Linked DNA regions of Oreochromis niloticus. The protein of the gene in region 2 binds, or shares a complex with, the protein of the main gene of each other region. Links are inferred from orthologs where the notes say so. Each region holds a gene or a part of one and is shown on either strand. Other genes may lie near its edges.

Region 1 (10,956 bases), on a different chromosome or scaffold from region 2:
TTGATGTGTTGGTAGTTTTTCTAAGTCACCAAAGTCGCCTTAATAATGTCCTGCACACTGTTGAGTCAACTCAACTGAGCTAACATGGCGAACATTTTGCTTTAACCTTCATCTTGCTGTCAGTGTGACCATATGAGCATGCTGTCATTAGTGTTCACCTCGAGCAATGCTTATTCTTGGCAGCACAACTATTTTTTGTTAATAGATATCTAATAGATATAATAGAATAATAGATATCTGACATGATTTTAATATCCAGTTTTATATAAAGTTCTCAGATACATTTCCTGCCATCTTTTTCCACAGTGTGTCATCAGTTTGTACAGTTCTGGTCCCTCATTGCCTGACTCCACTCTGTGTGTGTGTGTGTGTTGTATGTTGCAGATAAGCGCTGATGGAGATGCAATATGGATCAACAGTTTTGTAGGCGTCTTGACAATCACAGGTTTGTGGCCTGTTGGCATCACATTCATACACCTGAAGAACACCCTGCGAACAATAAAGATCATCCCGAAATACGCCATGTATCAGGTAAGACACTGATCAAGCACATGTGCACACTTTTGGATAAAGACTGTTAACAGATTTGAAAGACTGTTTTGCCAGGATAACACAAGCTGCAACTACAATTAGTTCTTGTATGTTTTCATTTGTGTCGTTAGCTGCTCCTGATTCTTACCCAGCTGCAGACAGCTATTATCAACATCTTGGGCTCGAATGGCACCATCGCCTGCTCTCCACCTTTCCCCTCGTCGATCAGAGGATACAGTGAGTTTACATCCATCTATCCAGTCAGGCCAATCATCCACATATTTACAGTTCCATATATATTTGGACACTGACACAAGTTTTATTTTTGTATGTGTTTACTGAAACATATTTCGATCATAGTTAAATAACGGACTTGGACATAATGTGTAGTGAACTCAACAATGCAAAAAGACCTGGGCGTCCAGAGAAGACAACAGTGGAGGATGATCACAGAGTCAGTTTTATGGTGAAGAGAAATCACTTCACAACAGCCAACCAAGTGAACAACACTCTCCAGGATGTAGGCGCATCGATATCCAAGTGTACTATAAAGGGAAGACTGAATGAAAGTAAATACAGAGGGTTCACTGCAAGGTGCAAGCCACTCATAAGCCTCAAGAATAGAAAGGCTAGACTGGATTTTACTAGAAAACATGTAAAAAAAAAGCCGGCACAGTTCTGGAAAAACATTCTTTGGACAGATGAAACCAAGATCAACCTCTACCAGAATGATGGCAAGAAAAACGTATGGAGAATGCATGGAACAGCTCATGATCCAAAGCAAACCACATCATCTGTAATACACAGCGGGGGCAAGTGTGATGGCTTGGGCGTGCATGGCTGCCAGTGGCACTGGGGCACTAGTGTTTATTGATGATGTGACACAGGACAGAAGCAGCCGAATGAACTCTGAGGTGTTAAGAGATGTAATGTTTGCTCAAATCCAGTTAAATGCAGTAAAACTGATTGGGGGTGTTTCAAAAATACAGACAGACAATGACCCAAAACTTACAGCCAAAACAACCCAGGTGTTTATTAAAGCAAATAAGTAGAATATTCTTGAATGGCCAAGTCAGTCAGCTGATCTTAATCCAGTTGAGCATGCATTTCACTTGTTAAAGACTAAACTTCAGACAGAAAGACCCACAAACACACAGCAACTGAAAGACACTGCAGTAAAGACCTGGCAATGCATTAAAAAGGAGAAAACCCAGCATCTGGTGATGTCCATGAGCTCAAGACATCAGGCTGTCATTGCCAGCAAAACCATTAAAAACAAACACTTTATTTTCACTTATTTAATTTGTACAATTACTTTTGAGCCCCTGATATGAAGGTATTGTGTTAAAAAATACTCTAGTTCCTCACATTTTTAGGCAATCTTTTTGTTCCCCCACTGAATTAAAGCAGAAATTCTGCACTTCAACTGCATCTGAGTTGTTTCATCTAAAGGTCATTGTGGTAATTTACAGAACCAAAAAAAAAAGAAGAAAAAAGCAGTCTGTGTCCAAATATTTATGGATCCAACTGTATCATATTTAGCATGCATCAGTATCCTTATTTTTTTACCAGTAACCCTGTGACAGCTAAGCTTGTTTGTGTCCTTATTCTGCCTTCACAGTGATGAGCCAGCAGCTGCTGATCATGGAGATGTTCATCATAACGATGGTAACACGGCTGCTCTATCGACGACAGTACGATCCTTTACCTGAAGAGCAGGATGCCAATGAAAACACCAGGATGACTGACTTAACACAGTCTCCATGAGAACTAAATTGTGTTAATGTGTGTATGTATGTGTGTGTGTGTTTGTATGTTTGATTCATATTTTCTTTCAAGTATTTGATTAAGACATTGCATATATTCAAAATAACAAATATGAGTTATATGTAAATGGGTTGTGTGGCTGCTCATTAAGCTTACCGGCTGCGAGTCCGCTACACAGTTTTTATTGACAGGATACTCGGGTCATGTACAGGCATGTGAAATTAATAAGAACATCCCGTGGAAATGGACTGACTCTCATTGAAAGTCTACAATTTTTTCAAAGAAAGTAAGTGGGAATAAAAAACAAAACAGTTGGAGGAACATTTTGCAGAGTATCAGGTTAACTGGCAACAGATCAGTAACATCACTGGGAATAAAAAGAGCATCTTAGAGAGGCAGAGTTTCTCAGAAGTAAAAATTGGCAGAGGTTCGCCAATCTGCAAAAAAATCAAAAATCAGAATAATGTTCCTTAATGTAAAATTGCAAAGACTTTCAATATCTCATTATCTACAGTGCCTAATGTCATCCAATAATTTAGAGAACCTGGAGAAATCTCCATGCACAAGTGACAAGGCCAAAAATCAATATGGATGCATGTGATCTTCAGGTCTTAAAATGACACTGCATTAAAAACAGGTGTCATTCCATCATGGAAATCACTGCACAGGCTCAGGAACACTTCCAGAAATCACTGTCTGTGAATACAGTTCACTGTACTGTACACAAAAACGGATACTTATTGCACTGGCAATAGCTTGAAGAGTTAAAATACAGCTTTACTGAAGACTCAGACATTGGACTTGTTTTGTCCTAGAGCTCTCAGTGCTACATTTGACACCACATTCTCACATTTTCGAGGTCGCCTGATCTTTTTTGTGTAATAACGCTTGTATACACACTTTTTTCCCCAGAAGAACCCTTTAGTTTTCCTCCAAAACATAATCTGCAGTGAGACAGAGAACCACATCTGACTGCCAGAAAACATGTTCTTAATTAAGTGGTATCAGGGGGTTGTTTTAGGAGATGTTTTATTTTACAAATATGAGATTTTCCCATAATTTACCAGAAATTATGTAGGCTAATTTGATACCATTTGAATAATGGCTTGTGAAGTACACAAGCGAAAGAAAGCCTTTGTCTCTGGAGATTTCAATGCATGATTTCCTTATGCTTGCGAAACAGATAAAGGAAAAAAGCTGGAACAGCATCATAAATCCTCGCTGATGGATGCTGATTCTCATCTACTTGAGGTCATCGCAATGGTGCTCAGTTACAAGAAAACAACACTACAGAAAAATAAAGCAAAGCAAATATTTTTAAAAATCACCAAAGTTCAGATGAGTGAAGTATCGAGTACTGTGCAAAAGTCTTGAGCTACCGCCTCACTAACTCAAGACATGAAGCAATGTTGTATCTACACATAACAAACTTAGAAAAGAGGCTTTTTGTTACTAGCAGCCAGTTCCCAAAACATACCATTTGTTTGCATTTCTTTAGGTGATTCGATAAAAAATGTTAAACTTAACAAAGTATGACCGGCATAAAACTGTATTTTCTTCCTCCACTTGTCTAGTTTTCTCTATTTTTAGGACACACTGCCCATAGATATGCCAATTCTTCGGCTATGTACAGCAAATGAACAGTATTTAAAAGTCGTGTTCTTAAGAAACAGGAAGAAAAAAAAAGTCAAAGACCTGACACAGAACCTGAGAGATGCTTCTTCTGAGCCATCTGCTGTTGACAGAAATGGTCTAGGTGGATGTTTGGCTCTGAAGAAGCTATACTTAAATATTTCAGATTATCAAAACTGGACTTAAAATTAGTGACGGCAGGTTTTATGACAATAAATACATTTAATATTTTTCTCTTGAATCGTCGTCAATATATGTGGAAGAGGTCTGGCGAGATGGGCAACAGTGAGTGTCTTCAGCTATCTCTGTCATGATTTGGGGCTTCTCCTTCTTCCAGTACATTGGCTTATATTTCAGTGTACACGTTAAACCTATTAATCGCTTTAGTAACAAAATACAAAGAAATAGGGAGTGGCTTTAGACTTTTGTGCAGTACTGTATTTTAATATTAATTTATTATTAAAAAAATTTTGTTCATTGCATGCTGGCATTTTACGGTTTAACATCAGCGTACCTGCAATCCTCCGACTCTCTGGGTTACAAAGAGAATTGGAAATAACTAACAGGCCAGTTTAAAAGTCTTTCTAAAAAGTTGAATTAGCATTAAATTTAAAAAAGGTGATTGTTTTTTTGTTTGTTTGTTTGTTTTTTGGAAAACTATAGGTGCTCAAATAGAGTATTATTAAATGCATATAATACACATATGTATGCATGTATGTATGATATGTTGGCCTACTTTAACTATTCACATGTGGTTATTTTAAAAAGGTAATGCTCTAACAGTTCTCCGGTGTGGTGTTTGTTCTCTGGTCCAATACTGTCATTGCTCTGGGCACTGTAGATTTTTAAAATATTGTCTCACTAGGGGGCAGTAAAAACAAAAAAAAAACAGTAAGGGGCTTATTTTTTCGTTTTAAAAGAACCATAATCTGCTTACATCGTGTTAAAAATGGTGCCCAAACCTGTTCTCCACCCACAATCTTACGTTCTGTACCCCCCATTTCTAACATCTACTGCCTGCTGACTGCGCATGAACAGATAAACAGGTATGTAGACGTTAATGACGTTGACTGACAAGCCTCTGACCAATAACATTGTCGAATTTGTCGCTCCTCTCTTGGAGCCAATCACGGCTGTGAATCCACAAGCCTGCACCAAGTGCGGTTGAGTCGAAGTTTTCGAAGGTACGTGCTGTCCACAAACGTCAATGGAGATCAATTACACCGGATGTTTACAGATCAGCTCTTCAAATTAAAAGCTTTTGCCTCTACGCAGGGATACATTCAACTACACCTAAAAGTGTTTCATTTATGAATTGGTTTACGGTGTTATTATTCATTTTTAATAGGAAAAACAAAAAAAGGAAACCTGTTGCAAGACAAAAACAAACCATTTTACCTAAAAATATATTTTTTTTAATACGAACTTCATACAACCTTCAACAAGGAAATGTCCAAAGACATTTGCTTTGGGGTTACATTGATAATGTCATTGTAATTTAAAACATGAGTGATAAGTTACCCTTATAGACCATGTATACACCAGTAATTAAGTAAATTCTTTAAAAAAGCATGGTGTTTCTGTTAAGCGACAGAATTTGTGTATAAATGCAGGTCATGGGTCGGGAGGGAGACTTTAAATAATAATCCCAAGTATAAGAATATAATGTTTTATCCATTAAAATTAATAAACCATTTAAGTTGAACTCTTTATTGTCCTTGCACGCTCGTACTTTGCACAACAGTACACCAAAATTGTTGTATTGACCCACATCAGGGTTAAAGAAATACATGCAAAACACAATAGATAAATAAGGACCATATATACAGAATTAAATATATACAACGTGTGCAGAAAATGAAATATACAATATGCTAATTGATTTAATAAATATTAATAATTTTATTTGAATATTATATAAAACTAATAAATGTTGTTGCCAGGCTTTCCAATTTACCCCTCCTTGCAGCTTGCAGTGTTGCCCTATAGACGGTATAAAATATTACTAAATATACTGCGCATTCTTTCTTTATTTTGAAAAGTATGGCATGAAGTCGTCATGTCATTGCGAAGGGCTTTGGATAGCTGAGCTCATCTGAGCGTGCAGTAATGTAGATCCAGGAAGCCGTTCCTGTCGCTTCTATCCTATCCTGTAACCTTATGGAGCTGGCTCTGTCGCGTCGCTCCGTCTCCTCCGCTGTGGCCGGTGGAAATGTGGCCGCCCCTGGAAGAAACGCACCGTCCGAGCATCTGTCCGCCTTCTCCTAATTTCTTCTCACTCACATCATCGCTAAAACTTTCAATATGAGGATCTTCTGGTCTTTGCTGAAAAACAGCAACCCCAAAATCGAGTATTACTCCAGATTTTCACCGTCCCCGCTCTCCATCAAGCAGTTTTTGGATTTCGGTGAGTAAAGGCATCGCCTGGCACCTTTAGAGGACTTGAATGACTTGTAGAGGGTGGAGGCGGAGGTGGAAGGCCCTGTTGTGTGTTTTTGTCATCTCATCAGTCGCAGCTGTGGACCTGAAGAGTCACACGCTTAGCCCCGGCTCGTTATTAATAGAAGGGAACATGTTGATGCTGAAACAACATTTAGTATAATGATCTGGGAACAACACCAACACGACGATATCAGATCGTGCAACATTAGACTTTCTTACGGTCAGGTGTGTTAAACGTAGAGATCGCCTGCAGTGAAGCAGCCACATATAAACAGAGGACGGTCCTCTGTCCTGTGCGGATTTGTTTACGTTGTAAACAAGTATTGACAGGCACCCTAACGCATGCAGGTAGTCTCAGTCAGACTGGCACAGCAGCACGTATGCAGTGGAGGGGCCAGCAGCCCCGCTCCTGTTGCCAAGATGCTCAGGAAGCCTTTAGTCATTTTATTTATTTTCACTTGTGTCTTAGTGAGGTCGCTCTAGAGCACGAGTCATTGCAGATTGATGGTTTTTAAATGTGTTTCTGTTTAATATGTTTTCCCCGCCTTTGATTTCAGTTCCCCCTCTATTGCACCAAGACATGTAGAAATCCCGCCCGTCGCAATGTGTGCCACAAGACGACGGTTATTAATGGTGCAGAAGCACTCAAGGCTTTCCTTAATCCGCCTCTTGATTAAACGCTGGCATGTCTGTTGCGTAATTTGTTCTCGCAGCTGTGGATGTAGAATGCGTGACGGGAAGTGTGCCGCACTTGTTTGCATTAAGGAGAACCCCTGCTTGGCACCAAGAGAGCCAAAACATATCGGTGTCTGTGTTTCACTCTGGAGCACGTGAGACGTCATCCAGGGATAGTCGCCACAGGCTTCTTTGTTCTCACGCACAAGCTTCCTCATTCTGCGTTTCACAAGATTTCCCCCCTTTAAACTGCTGAGTCAGGTCCAGCTTTTCCCTCGTTTCCTCTTGTCTGATCATCCCAAGTTCTAACACTGGACGTCATGATCGTCTCTTCTGTGTTGAGAGTTTTGAGGTTGTCCCCAGGGCAGCACTGTCCAAACTCTAGAAGGCTCTACTTTGTTAAGTTCCCCCGCAACAGATCTAAAACACCAATCCCTCTAACGTCTCCCTGACCGCCCATCCCTCTTTCCAGGCAAATATGACCAATGATTTCCCTGCGTGAACTTTTCAAGCTAATGTTGGCACGCATGTGGATACAGCTGCAGTCAGATGGCAAAGTTTAAGATATCAGGTTAAAGGTTGGATATTGAAACCGAGCGCTCTTCTTAGATGAGTTCAGCACACTTGCTTTTTAAGCACCTTCTTATATGAAGCTTTGTCTTTCATTTGACCTTGATCCCCGTGAGCTGGGAGCCTCTCTGATTGCCGAAGCAAGCAAAGAAAAACTCTAATCACGATATTTTATTGATGGCAATAAACAGGATTGTGAAAGTGTCAGAAAACTGATATTGTTTACTCCACACTGTATTTATTGGCAAGAGAAAACTAAACTGGAAGCTCCACATATGTGGTTAGGTTTATAAGTATTTGGACAAAGACACGATTTCGATTATGTTTGCCTTTTTTACACCACCACAATGGATCAAGCAGTCAATATGGTTCAAGTCTAGACTGTCAGCTTCAATTCGAAGGGTTCTAACTGAAGTTCTGCATTAACCATCGAGGTGCAAACCACAGGTTAAGAACAGAAGGGTCAGATTAAACTTTACTGGAGTTTAATCTAGTTACTGGAGGCAAAGCTGAGGCCAGAAAGACTCACAAAGAAGCAGCAACTGAAGCATCTCAAGGGAGGAAACCCAGCATTAGGTGATCTCCAAGGGTTCTAGACTTCAGGCAGTCACTGACTGCAAAGGATTTTCATCCTAGTATTTAAAACAGTCCATATATTTCATTTTGATCATGACTTGGTAAGATGTTGTGAAGTTGTTTTCCTTAACCGTGGCAATAATTCTGCGATCATGCACTCATGATCATGGCGTTATCTGTGCCTCTCACTTCTGCTTCCCTCAGGCCGCGACAATGCATGTGAGAAAACGTCCTTCATGTTCCTGCGTAAGGAGCTGCCCGTACGGCTGGCCAACACCATGAGAGAGGTCAACCTTCTCCCCGATAAACTGCTTAGCCAGCCCTCTGTCAAACTAGTGCAAAAATGGTAAGACACTCCCTCCAGAAATGTTCTTTATACGCCTGCCAAAGGGCAGCCTTTATGGCAGCAGGACTTGTTTTAAGGTTTATTGCCATATTGTTAGTAAGCATGTGTAAAGGTTGCCTTTTGCCCTCTGTCTGTTTTATCAGGTACATGCAGAGCTTTGTGGAGTTGCTCGATTACGAGAACAGAAAGCCAGAGGACCCTCATACTCTGAACGAGTGAGTGGATGTTATCTGTATGAAAAATTAATAAGCACGCTGTATGTACAGTAAATAAAGCTTTACAACACCCAGCTGTTGTATACTTATGTCATTAAGATTAGAGTCCCTCTGGCACTGCAACTAATCCTCTTAGTGCACATAGATCTCTGCTGACTGCTCAGGTAACGCTGTATTTATACAAAAACAATGCCCGTCTGTTAAACAGCCATGTGTCACCGATAAACGCAGACAGGAATGTGGTTGGGTCTTTCTGTTTAGAGAACACATTTCCAATAATTGTCCAGGGAAAATGAAATAACAATGCAGATCCTCATTCTTGTGCTGTGTTGTGCAGAGAAATCATGGTGACATTTAAATTTCTGGCTTGTTCTTTGTGCACATATAAAACATGTTTCTTCTTTCATGTGATTTTTATTTTGGTTTGTTTTTTTTAGTTTCCTGGAGCTTTTGATTGAGATCCGCAACCGCCACAACGATGTGGTTCCCACCATGGCTCAGGGGGTCATCGAGTACAAGGAGAAGTTCGGCTTCGACCCGTTCATCAGCAGCAACGTCCAGTATTTCCTGGACCGCTTTTACACCAATCGCATCTCGTTCCGCATGCTCATCAACCAGCACAGTGAGTCTCCAAAAATCCCCCAAAACATTTATGTCGTTTAGACCATCGGATCCATCTGTGCAGCTGAAGTTTATACATCCACACGTCTGTGTTTCAGCGCTCCTTTTTGGTAACGATACCAACCCAGCACATCCCAAACACATAGGCAGCATTGATCCGAACTGCAACGTGGCAGAAGTCGTCAATGGTAAGTTTGGGAGTTATTTAATATGACCGATTTAACCTGGTTTACTAGAAAGAAAAAGATTCGTCACCCTCAATAAACATGAAGCAATCATTTTGAGTAAAATGCAGCTGAAATATATAAAATTAAAGGTTTATTTAGTCAGATCATGAGTCATTAAGGAATACTTGGTATGAACTGATTGTATACCAGTAAAGTTTTTTAGACCAGATTTCATAAAATGTTATATTTTGCACTGTAATTATGTAACAAAATGACAGGAAACTTTACATGTTATCAAATTAGAGTCAGCATGGGCATACAGTTTGTCTTGTGTGTTCATCCTCCTTTTAATGCTGTAATTCCTCATGATCATGCTCGCTCAAGTCAGAGGGAATATTTTTCTTTCTATGTTTGACTTATTTTGTTATACTGAGCAAATGTATTCATTCTTCTCACAGGAAGTGGGGGTTAGCTATGTTTTATATCACATCGGCCGCTCTCTGCAGTGACACAAATCAAACAAAAGAGTATCAATCTTTGCTGAGCGGGGTGTTTATATAATGATAGTTTTAAAGGAATTCCAGCACTGCACTTTCAGTGACTCAGGAAGGGACAGAAGATGCATTAGTGACCTGTGAACAGAAATCCGCGCCGTTCTCTGGTCTGACTTATGTTGTTTTGCCTCTTCCATCAGATGCTTACGACACTGCCAAGATGCTGTGCGAGAAGTACTACTCGGCCGCTCCTGAGCTCAAGATTGAGGAATTCAACAGTAAGAGTGCTTTTGTGCATTTATGCAGTTTAAGCAATCTCCTCTGTAATTAGTCACAGCACTGAAAAAACTACAACCCTGTGATCCGGTCTTTTTAGAGCTTTTGGGCACAGATTGGGGCCAGATTTAGTCCTGTAATGACCCACTACCTCATTTACTTCAAAAGAAGCTGCTTTTTAGTGTGCGTTTAGTCTTCATGCTCCTTTTCTTTGCAGTGAAGGCTCCCAAAAGGCCCATCCAAGTGGTGTATGTGCCCTCTCATCTATTCCACATGTTATTTGAGCTCTTTAAGGTAGGCAGGCCAGTGTCAGTGCTCCTAACCTAACTGGCCCGGATCTAATTAAATGCAATTAAGACGTAACAGGACTATAATTCTGTAAGGGCTGCTGCTGAGCTGAGTTAATGAACTCTTGGGATGTTTGCAGAACTCCATGAGAGCCACAGTGGAGCTTCATGAGAACAGTAAAGAGGGATTACCACCAGTGAAGACAAAAGTCACTCTGGGTAAAGAGGATCTCTCGATAAAGGTAAATTCGACACACATTTGCATCGTTAAAGAAATATTTAGAGGTGTTTTAGCTTTTATTGTCTTTAAGTTGTTCCATTTCTCCATTGTTTTTATCCTTTTTGTCTCTAGATCAG
Region 2 (11,385 bases):
TGCAGGAAACATCTAAAGAACTGAAAGACAAGCTTGAAGAGAAACAAGCAAAATTAGAAGAAGTGGAGAAAAGATGTGAGCAACTTGAGAAGCAAAATGCAGAATCAATCGATGAGTTGAAAACCCTCATCCTTGAGAAAAAAGTGCTCATGGAACAGTGCCTGAAACAGAAGAAGAAGAAACGCTTCCGCTTGTTCTGGTGGAGGGACACTGGTGCTCCTCACCTGATGTAACCTTGTCTTCCTCCACCTCTGTTCCATCTTAATTATCACCTCTCCTCTCCTCTCCCCTCTTCCTCCCCTCTCTCAATACCTCTCCCAACACCTCTCCCCTCCCATCTTCTTTTTCTTTTTTCAGCCTCACCCCCCAACCAGTCCCGGCAGTTGACTGACCCCTCCTGAGCCTGGTTCTGCTGGAGGTTTCTGCCTGTTTAAAGGCAGTTTTTCCTCCCCACTGTCGCCTTAGTGCTTGCTCAGAGGGGATTGTTGGGGTTTTCTCTCCTCTATCCCTTTCCTCCTTTCGATCCCCTTTACCCCCTTCTACCTTTCCTTTACCCTCTTCTTTACAAACCCACCTGATTTTTCAATAAACCAATTGGCTTCATTATATACGTGTCAGATCAATGTCTTCATTCAATAATCTTAAGTAGAAAAATAAGAAATGGGTAATAGCTGCATGTGTGTGTTTGTATGTGTGTGTGCATAATATGCATACTTTACCTGTTTGATCCAAATCCCAGAAGGAATTAGATAAAACAAGAAAACAAAACAAAAAATGTTTCTCTCTCTTCATAGGTTAGATTTTAAATCCTGATTTGTATCAGCTACCAGTTAACCTATATTAGTAGCTCCAGATTAATCTAAGTTTCTTTTAGTTGTTGTTGTAACTCTCCCAATAACACTCCAATGAGTTATCAATACAACTCCAACAGAATGAATTTGATTGCTGAAGATGAAATCGACTGTTCACAATCGACTGTTACAAGAAAATCCTTTGAATTCACAATCCAGTGTGTAATCAGTTCATGGTTGAAGTCCTCTGCATGCTGCAGTAACAGAAAATATTGTCAAGGCGTGCTGTGTGGTAGGTGGAGAGCAGACCCAAAATGCAGGAACCCTCGGAGAAAAGTCAACTCAAAGTGCAGCTTTATTAGCTAGAACTAGCAATCTTAACATAAACATAAGCTGAGCACACAACATGGAAGAGTACAAAGACACCATGAAGACCAGAGGGAAGTGAGGACTTTAAATAAACCAGAGATGGGGACTTTCATTACTTCTATGAAATATACTTTTGCACGCTAAAGAACAGAAAATTAATCTCAGTCTTTATTCTTTTAACTGTTGCTTCTGAGAAGGAATCCATACCTGTGAATTCATATTCTTTATCAAATTGGCCCAAATGTGCTGACTACACCGTAAAAAATCAAACTTGCAATTGCTGAGCTTAGTCATTTCTTTCACAATTCAACAATAAAAGCTGAGTTGCCCCATAAACTCAAATACATTAGGGTTCCAACTAATCCTTTAACGTTTTGGAGCAAAAGTTGGTCTCAGATGAAATTTATTGCTGGCAAAATGAATGAATTCAAGCTTTACATGAGTTTAAGGTGTTGGCGCCTTTCTATGCCTGAGCACGCATGCGCATCTCATAGTTTTGGATACTACGGGGTCTACATTGCACTTTTGCAAGGACTGAGAGCCACCTGGCCGTTTCCCTTAATGCAAACACGAGGCTTTACCAGGAGCTGGATGCAGCTAAGGTGTTCATCTTAACTTTCTTAAGGCAAGTAATGTTTCTTTTATTGTGTATTTATATGTGTTTACTACATCATTTAAGATCCCCCCTAGACTGTTTTACTCAATCGTGCTGCTTGAATGCCCTCGTGAGCAACTTGAATGTTTTCCATCATAAAATAGTGCTTTAAAGTTTTGGTATAAAAATCGCCATGTCACAAAACAATGAAAATCCGACAAACATCCCTACCAAACAGGCGCGCCCATGTTTGACAAGCCTCGCGACACCCCCTACGTGTATTTCATGAAGTGCAGGCTGTGGCCGCCATACTACCGAAAAAAAAATTCGGGGGCGCCCTCTGCCATGTCGTTTAATTTGTTCAAATCACATTTAGCCAATAAAATATGTGGTTTAGTTTCTGTGTGAACGGGGTGGTGGAGTCCTCACGCCCAGCGAGCTCCACCAAACACAAACAGGAGGGAGAGGAAAATCAGAGAAGCAGCTACAGAGCACAAGCAGCATAGCAGTAAATATGGGGTTATTTTAAATACGAAGGCTGACTAGAGTCTGCAAGAGTCATATCGAACAGACTTTAACCCTCTGGGGTCGACGGACGCGCCGGCTCGTCAAAACCACATGACCAATTTAAAATGACACAGCTAAAAGATGCAGCGACTCAGTCTCCATTTCAACTTGGGACGAAAGTGCGGACTTCAAACTATACACCAGTTTTTGAATTGTGTCGACAGGCCACGTAAAACCAGAGTTATGATAAAAAATACACGCGATGGTTTTTTTTTTTCTGAACAAAACAGTGGTGTTTACAGCGGGAAGAACGGTAAAAACGGCGTTTTCTAAGGACCGCGCTAGCAAACACTCTCCACTTGCGAGTAAAAAAAAAAAGAAAATACACCCCTTCCCTATTGGTGTTAGAGTTTACCATCTCAGCCAATCAAAAAAATGATATGGCAACATGTGGCACTTGGTTGTTTAGGGAGAAAGGGAAGTTTTAGGAGTGACACCCGCGACGGAAAGCAGGCGCGCAAAAGAAAGAGAGCGCGAGTTTTCATATGTGAGACATTAGTGACGTTTAGCGTGTTTGGAGGCTAGAGTTAGTTTGTTGTGTAGTTATTGTTTTGTATTGTGTGTGAGTTATACTGCTGAATGTCACATTTGCTCCAAAAAAGCCATCAAAGGCAGATTCCAGTGTAAACGCTGTTCCCACATGGAAAACTGGACTGATACACCTCCTGCTGTCAGACCTGCAGGGTTTAGGCCTGTGCTGTTCTCCTCTGTCTTATATTGAACACAAACTATTTTTGGACTGGCACAAATAATTTCTGTGCCTTCTTATTTGATGCAGCACAACTGATTGTTCTGTAACTAGATTTAAATGGTTATATAAAAAACGCCCGAGGCCTTGGCTGCATTTTTAGGTAAATAGTACCATATAACTTTGTTTGCAAAACTTTGGGAACTTCAGGTTCATACACATGTAACGAAAGATACTTTATTAAATATTTACTAAATTGATATAAAAATTGTTAGTTTTCAAAAAGTGTGTCCTCCTGAATGGGATTATAAGCTAACAAGCAGCGCTGTGTGTTTGGCAGATGGCAGGTCATGACGGACAGTTCAACTCTCATCCCACTTTTTGTTATAAATGTCATAAGTGTGCTACATTGGTTGTGCATCAAAATTACTTTAAAAAAAACTGACAAAACCATGAGCAATTATCTGGAATAACTAATTTTAACATCTTATTTCTTAAGGCTGTATTTTTAGCAACAACACTTAATCTGTTTTAAAAACAAAATGGTAGGTTTATAAATGAGACTGAGTCTTATTTGATTTCCTTGTTTTAGGCCTCAAACATAGTCCAGCATCGACGAACCATCAGTTTGGAAGGGTTACAGATATTTATTCGTGACGACGAGACCAAACTCTTCTTAACATGTCTGGTGAGTATGCAAATCTACTCAATCTTCAGTTTTGGTTTACAGAGACTTGTATGTACTGTTGTTAATTTTGCATAGGATACAGATCCAGTTGAGAGGGCAACCCGAGGTGTTACGGTGGGCATCCTCACTGTTCTGGAGGACTATGTGGGACCCAACTCGCAGTCCACAGTGGTCAACACTGCCATTGTTTTGGAAGAGGACATTATTCTTGATGATCTGCCAGACCTTCCCACTGCCTTTGCCTACCTGTTTGGCCTACTTTATGGGGTCAACATGGAGTTTCCCAAAGAACTCAAGTACACATTTGTTTGCTGTATGGAAACCAGATAGAAGAGTTCATATCCTGCCATCTGATGTTTTGAATCTGTTTGTTAGTGACTATCAGTCAAGATAGGTTTGATTTTCTGTCTGACAATACCACACCTTTAAAATTGGATGAGTAACATTTGTTACAAAAATTTGACCTTTTTTTTGTTTTTGGAAAAGGACTTTATTTGTGGCTAAATGTTGTCAGTATGTTAAAAATGGCTCATCTCAAAACATTGTCAGTGGTACAGTTGTGTTTGAACACAAAGTTATTTGAAAATCAAAATTGTGTAAACATTCATTAATACAACAGGGAGCACCTCATGAAAACTATAAAGGATACTTTTTCTAAACTTTAGGAAATTGATTGGCAAAACAAAAAAAATATGTTGTGTAAACTTTAGGAATTACATTGTTAAAACAATGAAAAATATATTTTGTCAACTTTAGGAAATACGTTGCCAAAACTAAAACTAATACCTTGTGTAAACTTTAGGAAATACATTGCTAAGACAATAAAATATGAGTTAAGAAAAAGCACAGTTATTAATTTTGTAAACACAAAAACATTAGTTGAAGCAACTTTTCTCCTAAACTTGAAATTATAAGTTATCCATCAGAACCTAAAAACGTAAATGCAGTGGGTTGCCTTGAGTTTTTAAGTTTTTGCAACAATTCTTTTTTTAACAGTGTATTTTATTTAGTGCCCTGTGAACTAATGCCTTTCTTCCAACAATGTCTAACAAAAACACATGAATTTAAATAAAATATCCATAAAGTAAAGTAGAAAGGATTGCTTTTGTATAATAAAACAGTAAGAATAGGAGTAAATTTTGATATATTGGTATGTCATAAAGTCATGTATTATATTAGCAATGAGTAATATTGCACTGAAGTTTATGTTATTGAGTAATAAGGGGGCAGAAACTTGGAATAATAATGTGGAAACATTACTTTATTAACTTGGTTTTCCATATTATTACGGTCTTGTTTCCACATTATTACACCACTATTATGGCATTATTATGAAGTTGTAATAGAAAGGATTACCAAAGTGTGAAGAATTATCATTGAAATCATTTTTTAAATGTGTTTTGGAGAAGTTTGTCTAAGTTTATAAGACATCTTTGAGTTTCAGGAGAGGAAAAAAAGTGGTAAACATTTAAATGCATAAAGCAAAACATATAGTTGGCCCAGAAATTGAGCTCAGCATCACACATACTGTTTCATCTTGCAAAGAAACCCTGTAATGTTTGCCAATATTCCCTTGGCTTGTCCATTTGAATAGTGCATGGAATGACATTTATAATACGCCCTTTACTCTGCTCACCTCATTATAGGTAAGGCAAGCTGTGAGGAAATGGCTTTAGATTATGAAAAACAGAGCCACAGGAATTCAGCTGAAAAGTCCAAACCTTTGGCAGTTCTCTCAGGAGAATCTACACATACAGTGCATTATTTACAGGTTAGACAGGTGGCACATTAGAGTATAAATAATGCCAAAAATTGTCAACAACATTTGCTTTAATGCTTTGTTTTCTTTTTTTCTTTCTTTTTTTAAATATACCTTCATATAACACTGGATCCCTTCTGTGCAGCCTATTCTAATACTAACTCAGCCATGGATGAGCTGCACAAGGCAATAAGGAGTCAGCAGAACTCCTATCCCAATGCAGTGTACATCATAGTTGGGGACTTTAACCATGTTGACTTAAGGTCAGTATTCACCAAATTTGAACATTATAGCAACAAGGTGGAAAAACACACTGGATAAAGCCTACAGCAACATCCAAAAAGGCTACAGAGCAACCCCTCTCGGACTAATGGTGTCAAAGGCCCCTCCCATCAGAAGGAGACACACTCCACCCACTCCAGTTCGCATACAGAGCTAACACATTAACTGAAGATGCCATTGTTACAACGCTCAGAATACTGCAGCAAGACTCTTAACAGGCACCAACAAAAGATCTCATATCACCCCAGTTTTGGCCTCCCTTCACTGGTTGCCTGTAAATTTTAGGTTTCATTTTCAAATTTTACTTCTAACCTTTAGGGCCCTACATGGTCAAGCTCCACAGTATATATATCTGACCCGCTGAAACTGCATTCATCTTCCCAAGCTCTAAGGTCATCAGGTCAACAACTGCTGATTCCACCACACACTCAATTTTAAACTCGTGGTGATCGTTCCTTTCAGGCAGTGGCACCACAGTTGTGGAATTCTCTTTCACTGTTTTTACACTGTACTGACACCACTGATTCTTTTAAAAAGCAGCTGAAGATATTTTTATATAGACAAGCATTCAACTAATTTGTTGTTTTTATGTTGTATTTTATTGTTTTACATTGTCCAGCATGTTGACTGTTACCTGAAATGCCACTTACTGACCAACAGATGGCACTCTTACAAATACCAAATCTGATTTGGTATCTGTAGTCAGACAGTGCTCGTGTCATCAGTGTCACTTTAACATTACAAAGAGTAAAAACAAGTAAAATATATTTACAATAAGCAGACCTAAGTGCCGGAAAGTTCAAACACTGAAAAGCACAAAGGCCAACTTTGTGTCATCCTCTGAATGCTTCATGACACTCTTAGACAGTTTTTATCCTTCAATGCTGATTTGACTGAGTTATGATGTGTACATGGTTTTATTTATTTACTTACTTTCACATTTACCTCGACTTACTTTGCTTCAGCCAGCTGTGTTTTTATAATCATGCAGTCATCGGACCTTTGGAACCTTTGTGAATTGGACAAAATCCAAAATAAATTCAAACTTGTGCACCCAGTTCTTTTTTTTTTAAGTCATTAAAGATGCCATAATGGGTATATGCAAACTTCTCGCCATAACTGTGATACATAAAATCAAGATTCACAGGCTGGCTGGACCCAGGCAAACTTCCCAGTAAAAGAATCTACTGCCATCATGTGGTCATTGATGTGATTACAGCTTAATTACATTTATCGCTAAAACAGTTTGAACAGTTCTTAATATAATTTTTTATTTGCTTTACTTTGTTTCTTTAGCATTGTACTTTCATTGGCAGTGGTGGTGTTTTTTTGTTTGTTTTTGTTTTGGGGGTATTCAGCGACTGAATTGTGAGCCGCTGCCATTTACGACACCAACGACAAAGCTACGACAGCACAAGCAAGAGAGCCGTAAATCGTTGTGTTTGGGGCTGGAGGAGGTCATTAGAAAGTGAGGAGTTAAATAGGGGCTGGCTGTCAGGGAGAAGAGACCCTCGGTGTAGGTGTAGCTCTCATGCTGGTGTAAGACATACATATTATTCACCAGCTCTGTATAGTATTCCAACCGCTGCGAAATGCTTCGTCTGATCCTGCGGCTCAGGCCGTCCTCCGGGCTCCGGTGTCCCCGTGCCCTCCCGGCCGGGCCTGCTGCGCTCAGCTCCCGCTCTGCTCCCGGAACCAGCTGTCTGAGACGGCTTCATTATGGAGCAGGGTCCCGAGCGGCCTCTCTGGGCTCCGGCTTCAACCACAGAGCGACTCTTCTGCGGTCTCCCCAGCTAGCAGGTGGATGTCAGTGCAAGCGCTTCTACAGCCTGCCGCCACACCAGAAGGTAACGCTACCGGAGCCGGTGTCAGGTTGCTATAGCACCCATGTTCACCGCGTTAGCTAGCATGACCTCCCTGCCTGTTACAGAGATCTGTTAAAAAACGCTTTATTAACTGGAAATCCGGCTCTTCCCTGTGTGAGGTTAGCAGGAACTGTTGTTACCTATCGTTTGAATCTCTGAACGACTAGTTTCTCCACTCCTCACTGGTCACTGAACTAAATAAAGCAGACACTGTTGTGACTGTTTGTGCTGCGGTTCTCCTGAATGACACCAATCCGTCAAACCTGACTTGTGTGCCCCAAACACGGAGGCCATAGGAAATACTGGGGCTATAAAAACGTAACACATGCCTGATGGTGCTGAGCGATACTGCAAAATTTGGTATCGATCCCGATACCAAATAAATACAGGGTTTCGTATTGCCAATCCCGATACTTGTAACCTATAAAGACAGCTTAAGTAGGGAACAGCAGTATGTTATTGTTTATGAGGTGATTTATCATAAATTTGCAAATTGTGAACAACTTTTAATGACCACTAACTGACTGAGCTTTGCCTTCCATAATAGCTGTGTTTTGTTTCCACAACAAAGTACAGCTTTCAGTTTGTCATGTATTTTGAAACAGTTTTTTTTAGACTTGGAATATAAATGTACCTTTCTCTAAAGCACTGTTATTTAAATGTGCTATAGCTTACAAATAACAAGGATGTGACAGTCACTACGAAAAGGTTCAGACACTTTTCATAGCAAATGTTTGAGGTATATTTTACTTTCTCCAAAAATAATTTATCTAACACAGTTCAGAGGGCTGAACGCTGAACTTGGACATTAGAAGTAAAGTATAGGTTGTATCACGATCTGATACCAATATCAGTGTTTGTTTCGGTACTATCGATATTTGGCTCAATCTGCGCACCTCTGAGACATTTTAACACAGTACACTGTGTGCACAGCGCACTCATTGTAAAGTTTTAAAAAGACTAGATTCATACTTTGTCACTTTCCCCAAGTGTATTGAAGTCAATTAGAGCAGGTGATTTGTGTTCTCCTCTGCTGCATTAGACAGAGGACCTGGAGGGAGCTCATGGTTAATTGGTTGTGGAACAACTTCAGGAACTGCTGAAAACATGAAACAATTATAACCTGGGAAGTCTGACAGGCTCGTCCTCCAATTTAAGTGACCTGCTGGTTTATACCTCTTCGTCAGTTGGGAGTGCTGCCTGTGGAAATTGCATGCTGTCCCCGAAATCATGAAACTGGCAGCTTCACTTTCTCCTTACAGTCTAGAGGTGTGCTCGTTAGGTTAATTGAGCGTAGGTGCAGATCTTAGGCTGTGAGCCTGAATGAAACCCTCCAGTTTTGGCTCTAAAGTGGAAGGCTTCTTAGTAGTCCTTCGACCTTTGTGTTACTCCACCAATAGCATGTCATTCATCTTTGCTGTTATATAAAAAAAAACTCAATAAAAATCAGCTGTGGTAAAGTGGATGTAGGTCATTTTATTGAGCAATGAATGAGGTGATGATGATGTAGCAACAGCAGTTACAACACCTGACTTCTGGCACTTTTTTGACTGGCCTGTTGAAAAGTTCCCAGTGAGGATACTCGAAAAGGATAATACAGATACAGTCTTTGTTTTTTGGTGTTTTTTTTTTTTAAGGTTTTAGGTTATACATTGATTTTATTCATTTGCTTGCTCTTCAGGTGGAGCTTCCTGCACTGTCGCCCACCATGCAGACAGGAACGATCGCTCGCTGGGAGAAGAAGGAGGGGGAGAAAATCAGCGAGGGTGACCTCATAGCTGAGGTTAGGAGCCGTGTGTGCCCACGCTGCCGCAAAACGTGATCGTGGCGTACATTTCTAATGTTGCCTCTGCCTTTGTAGGTAGAGACGGACAAGGCCACTGTGGGATTTGAGATGCTGGAGGAATGCTATCTGGCAAAGATCCTGGTTCCTGAAGGAACCAGAGATGTCAACGTTGGAGCCGTGATTTGCATCACAGTTGACAAGTTAGTGTGTTTGGACAGTCCAGATTCAGAGCTGAGGCCTGTTAGTTGAGTTTTTTTGTTTTTTTTCGTTTATAGTAATGGGACGAATTAATAGTTGGAAAACATTAAATGGGGAGCACTATGTTTTGATAGTGGCAAAATGCTGCTTTTATTTATTTTTTCAGTCCTTTAAGTCCTTGAGCTTTAACAAACATGATAAAAAAGACTTGAATCTTCAGAAAACCCTTACAATAAACTTTAATGCTGCTTGGTTTACGTCTACATTTGTTATGAAATGTAATGTAATGTGCTATATCAACAAAATTGCCTTTGCCACAATCAAATATGGGAGGTTAAAAGCTGACAGGGTGCCATATGGCTCGATGCAGTTGTGTCAGTTTCTACTCATTATTTGTGGATATATTTTCCCCTGCAGCCCTGACTTGGTCTCAGCCTTTAAGGATGTAACACTAGATTCGATCAAAGTAGCCGGTGCCACTCCTTCACCTGCTACCTCTGCGCCGCCTCCTCCACCTGCTGCTGCTGCGCCAGCTCCACCTGCAGCCCCTGGAAGCTCTTATCCCGCACACTTAAAGGTAAGCGAGCTCTCACATAAACAAGTCCGGTCGGAAAGCTGTAGATTTGTCATTTAGACAGCATCTGTTTACCTATGCTGTGTTCTGGTTTGATTAGGGTTGTTCAGGATCACTGTGTATCAAGGCAGAGAAGCGGGTACCAATATGGACTCTTCTGATCATGCGCCAGATTTTACTACTTTACTACAGTGTGTGGCATTAAACAGTTTCCGTGGATGTGTAGTTTCCATGTATCTGTTATATTTTTAACTTTCTCTATTTGAAGGACTTTTTTTTTTTTTTCCCCCCCTTTCTTTATTTTAAAAAAACAAAAATAATGTCGCACCACTTCATCATTTAATCAAAGAGAGGGGAAAGGCTTTAATTTGCTGGAGGCTGTGCCACAAAATTGTCCCTGCCCTTACTTCAGCTGTGAATGTCCCTGTGACATCATTCGGTCCCTTCAGGGGTCATCTTGAAGTCATTTTCTCTGGAGCTTTAACAGTGTTTGTAGTAACTTGACTAGAAGCTGAAGAGGTTGTGAGTCTTTTTCAGGTCTAGTATTGTTCACATTTGTGGGAATTTGTGTGTTACAGATCGCACTTCCTGCTCTTTCTCCAACCATGACGATGGGAACAGTGCAGCGCTGGGAGAAGAAGGTCGGAGAGAAGCTGAGCGAAGGAGATCTCTTAGCTGAGATCGAAACTGACAAGGCGACCATTGGTAAATCCAAACTGATTTGAACACATCGATCCTAAAGCGTGTCCACTTTCAGCACTACAGAGGAAAAAATAGTTATATGAGCTCACTTTTAATATAGCTTTTAATACTGACATTCACCCCGGACCTTCTGTGTGTTTGCATACAGGCTTTGAGGTGCAAGAGGAGGGGTATTTGGCTAAAATCCTGGTGGCGGAGGGAACCCGTGATGTTCCCCTGGGCACGCCGCTCTGCATCATTGTAGAGAAGGAAAGCGACATTGCCGCTTTCAAGGATTACGTTGAAACTGGGGTGGTTGAGGTTTCCACACCACCTCCACCTCCAGCACCGGTGAGACTCACAGAAAACCTGTACTTTCAAATAAGAAGTCATTTGGCTTTTGTACAGTTTTAAGATGCCTTAAGAACACTTTTTTTTTTTTTTTTTTTTTTAATATGTTGTAGGTCGCAGCTCCAGCTGCTGCATCACCCAGTCCTGCTCCAGCAGCAGCAGCTGCTGCCCCTGCAGCACCCAGGAAGGGT

Evidence for each region.
Region 1: the proteins of dlat (region 2) and pdk3a are in contact, whole or in part, in a crystal structure (PDB 1Y8N), measured with the Homo sapiens proteins. The link is inferred for Oreochromis niloticus from reciprocal best matches to the Homo sapiens genes DLAT and PDK3. Residues at the interface, in NP_001922.2 of Homo sapiens: Ala225, Leu226, Ser227, Pro228, Thr229, Glu248, Gly249, Lys259, Ala260, Ile262, Glu265; in NP_005382.1 of Homo sapiens: Arg21, Phe22, Ser23, Pro24, Ser25, Pro26, Leu27, Phe48, Lys51, Val55, Asn373, Lys374, Ser375, Arg378.

Annotation. Positions count from the first base shown.
Region 1 is NC_031974.2:21,273,238-21,284,193, forward strand, and holds the start of pdk3a (pyruvate dehydrogenase (acetyl-transferring) kinase isozyme 3, mitochondrial), read left to right. Parts: upstream 1-5,952; 5' UTR 5,953-6,234; coding exon 6,235-6,337; intron 6,338-8,397; coding exon 8,398-8,539; intron 8,540-8,682; coding exon 8,683-8,754; intron 8,755-9,191; coding exon 9,192-9,376; intron 9,377-9,473; coding exon 9,474-9,563; intron 9,564-10,236; coding exon 10,237-10,314; intron 10,315-10,529; coding exon 10,530-10,606; intron 10,607-10,739; coding exon 10,740-10,841; intron 10,842-10,951; coding exon 10,952-10,956. Other genes in the region: slc51a (organic solute transporter subunit alpha), read left to right, coding at 385-531, 663-768, 2,153-2,298. UniProt on the Homo sapiens protein: Inhibits pyruvate dehydrogenase activity by phosphorylation of the E1 subunit PDHA1, and thereby regulates glucose metabolism and aerobic respiration. Can also phosphorylate PDHA2.
Region 2 is NC_031975.2:13,574,353-13,585,737, reverse strand, and holds the start of dlat (dihydrolipoyllysine-residue acetyltransferase component of pyruvate dehydrogenase complex, mitochondrial), read left to right. Parts: upstream 1-7,155; 5' UTR 7,156-7,331; coding exon 7,332-7,586; intron 7,587-9,025; exon of another isoform or gene 9,026-9,176; intron 9,177-9,285; coding exon 9,286-9,387; intron 9,388-9,465; coding exon 9,466-9,590; intron 9,591-10,005; coding exon 10,006-10,165; intron 10,166-10,740; coding exon 10,741-10,867; intron 10,868-11,012; coding exon 11,013-11,194; intron 11,195-11,307; coding exon 11,308-11,385.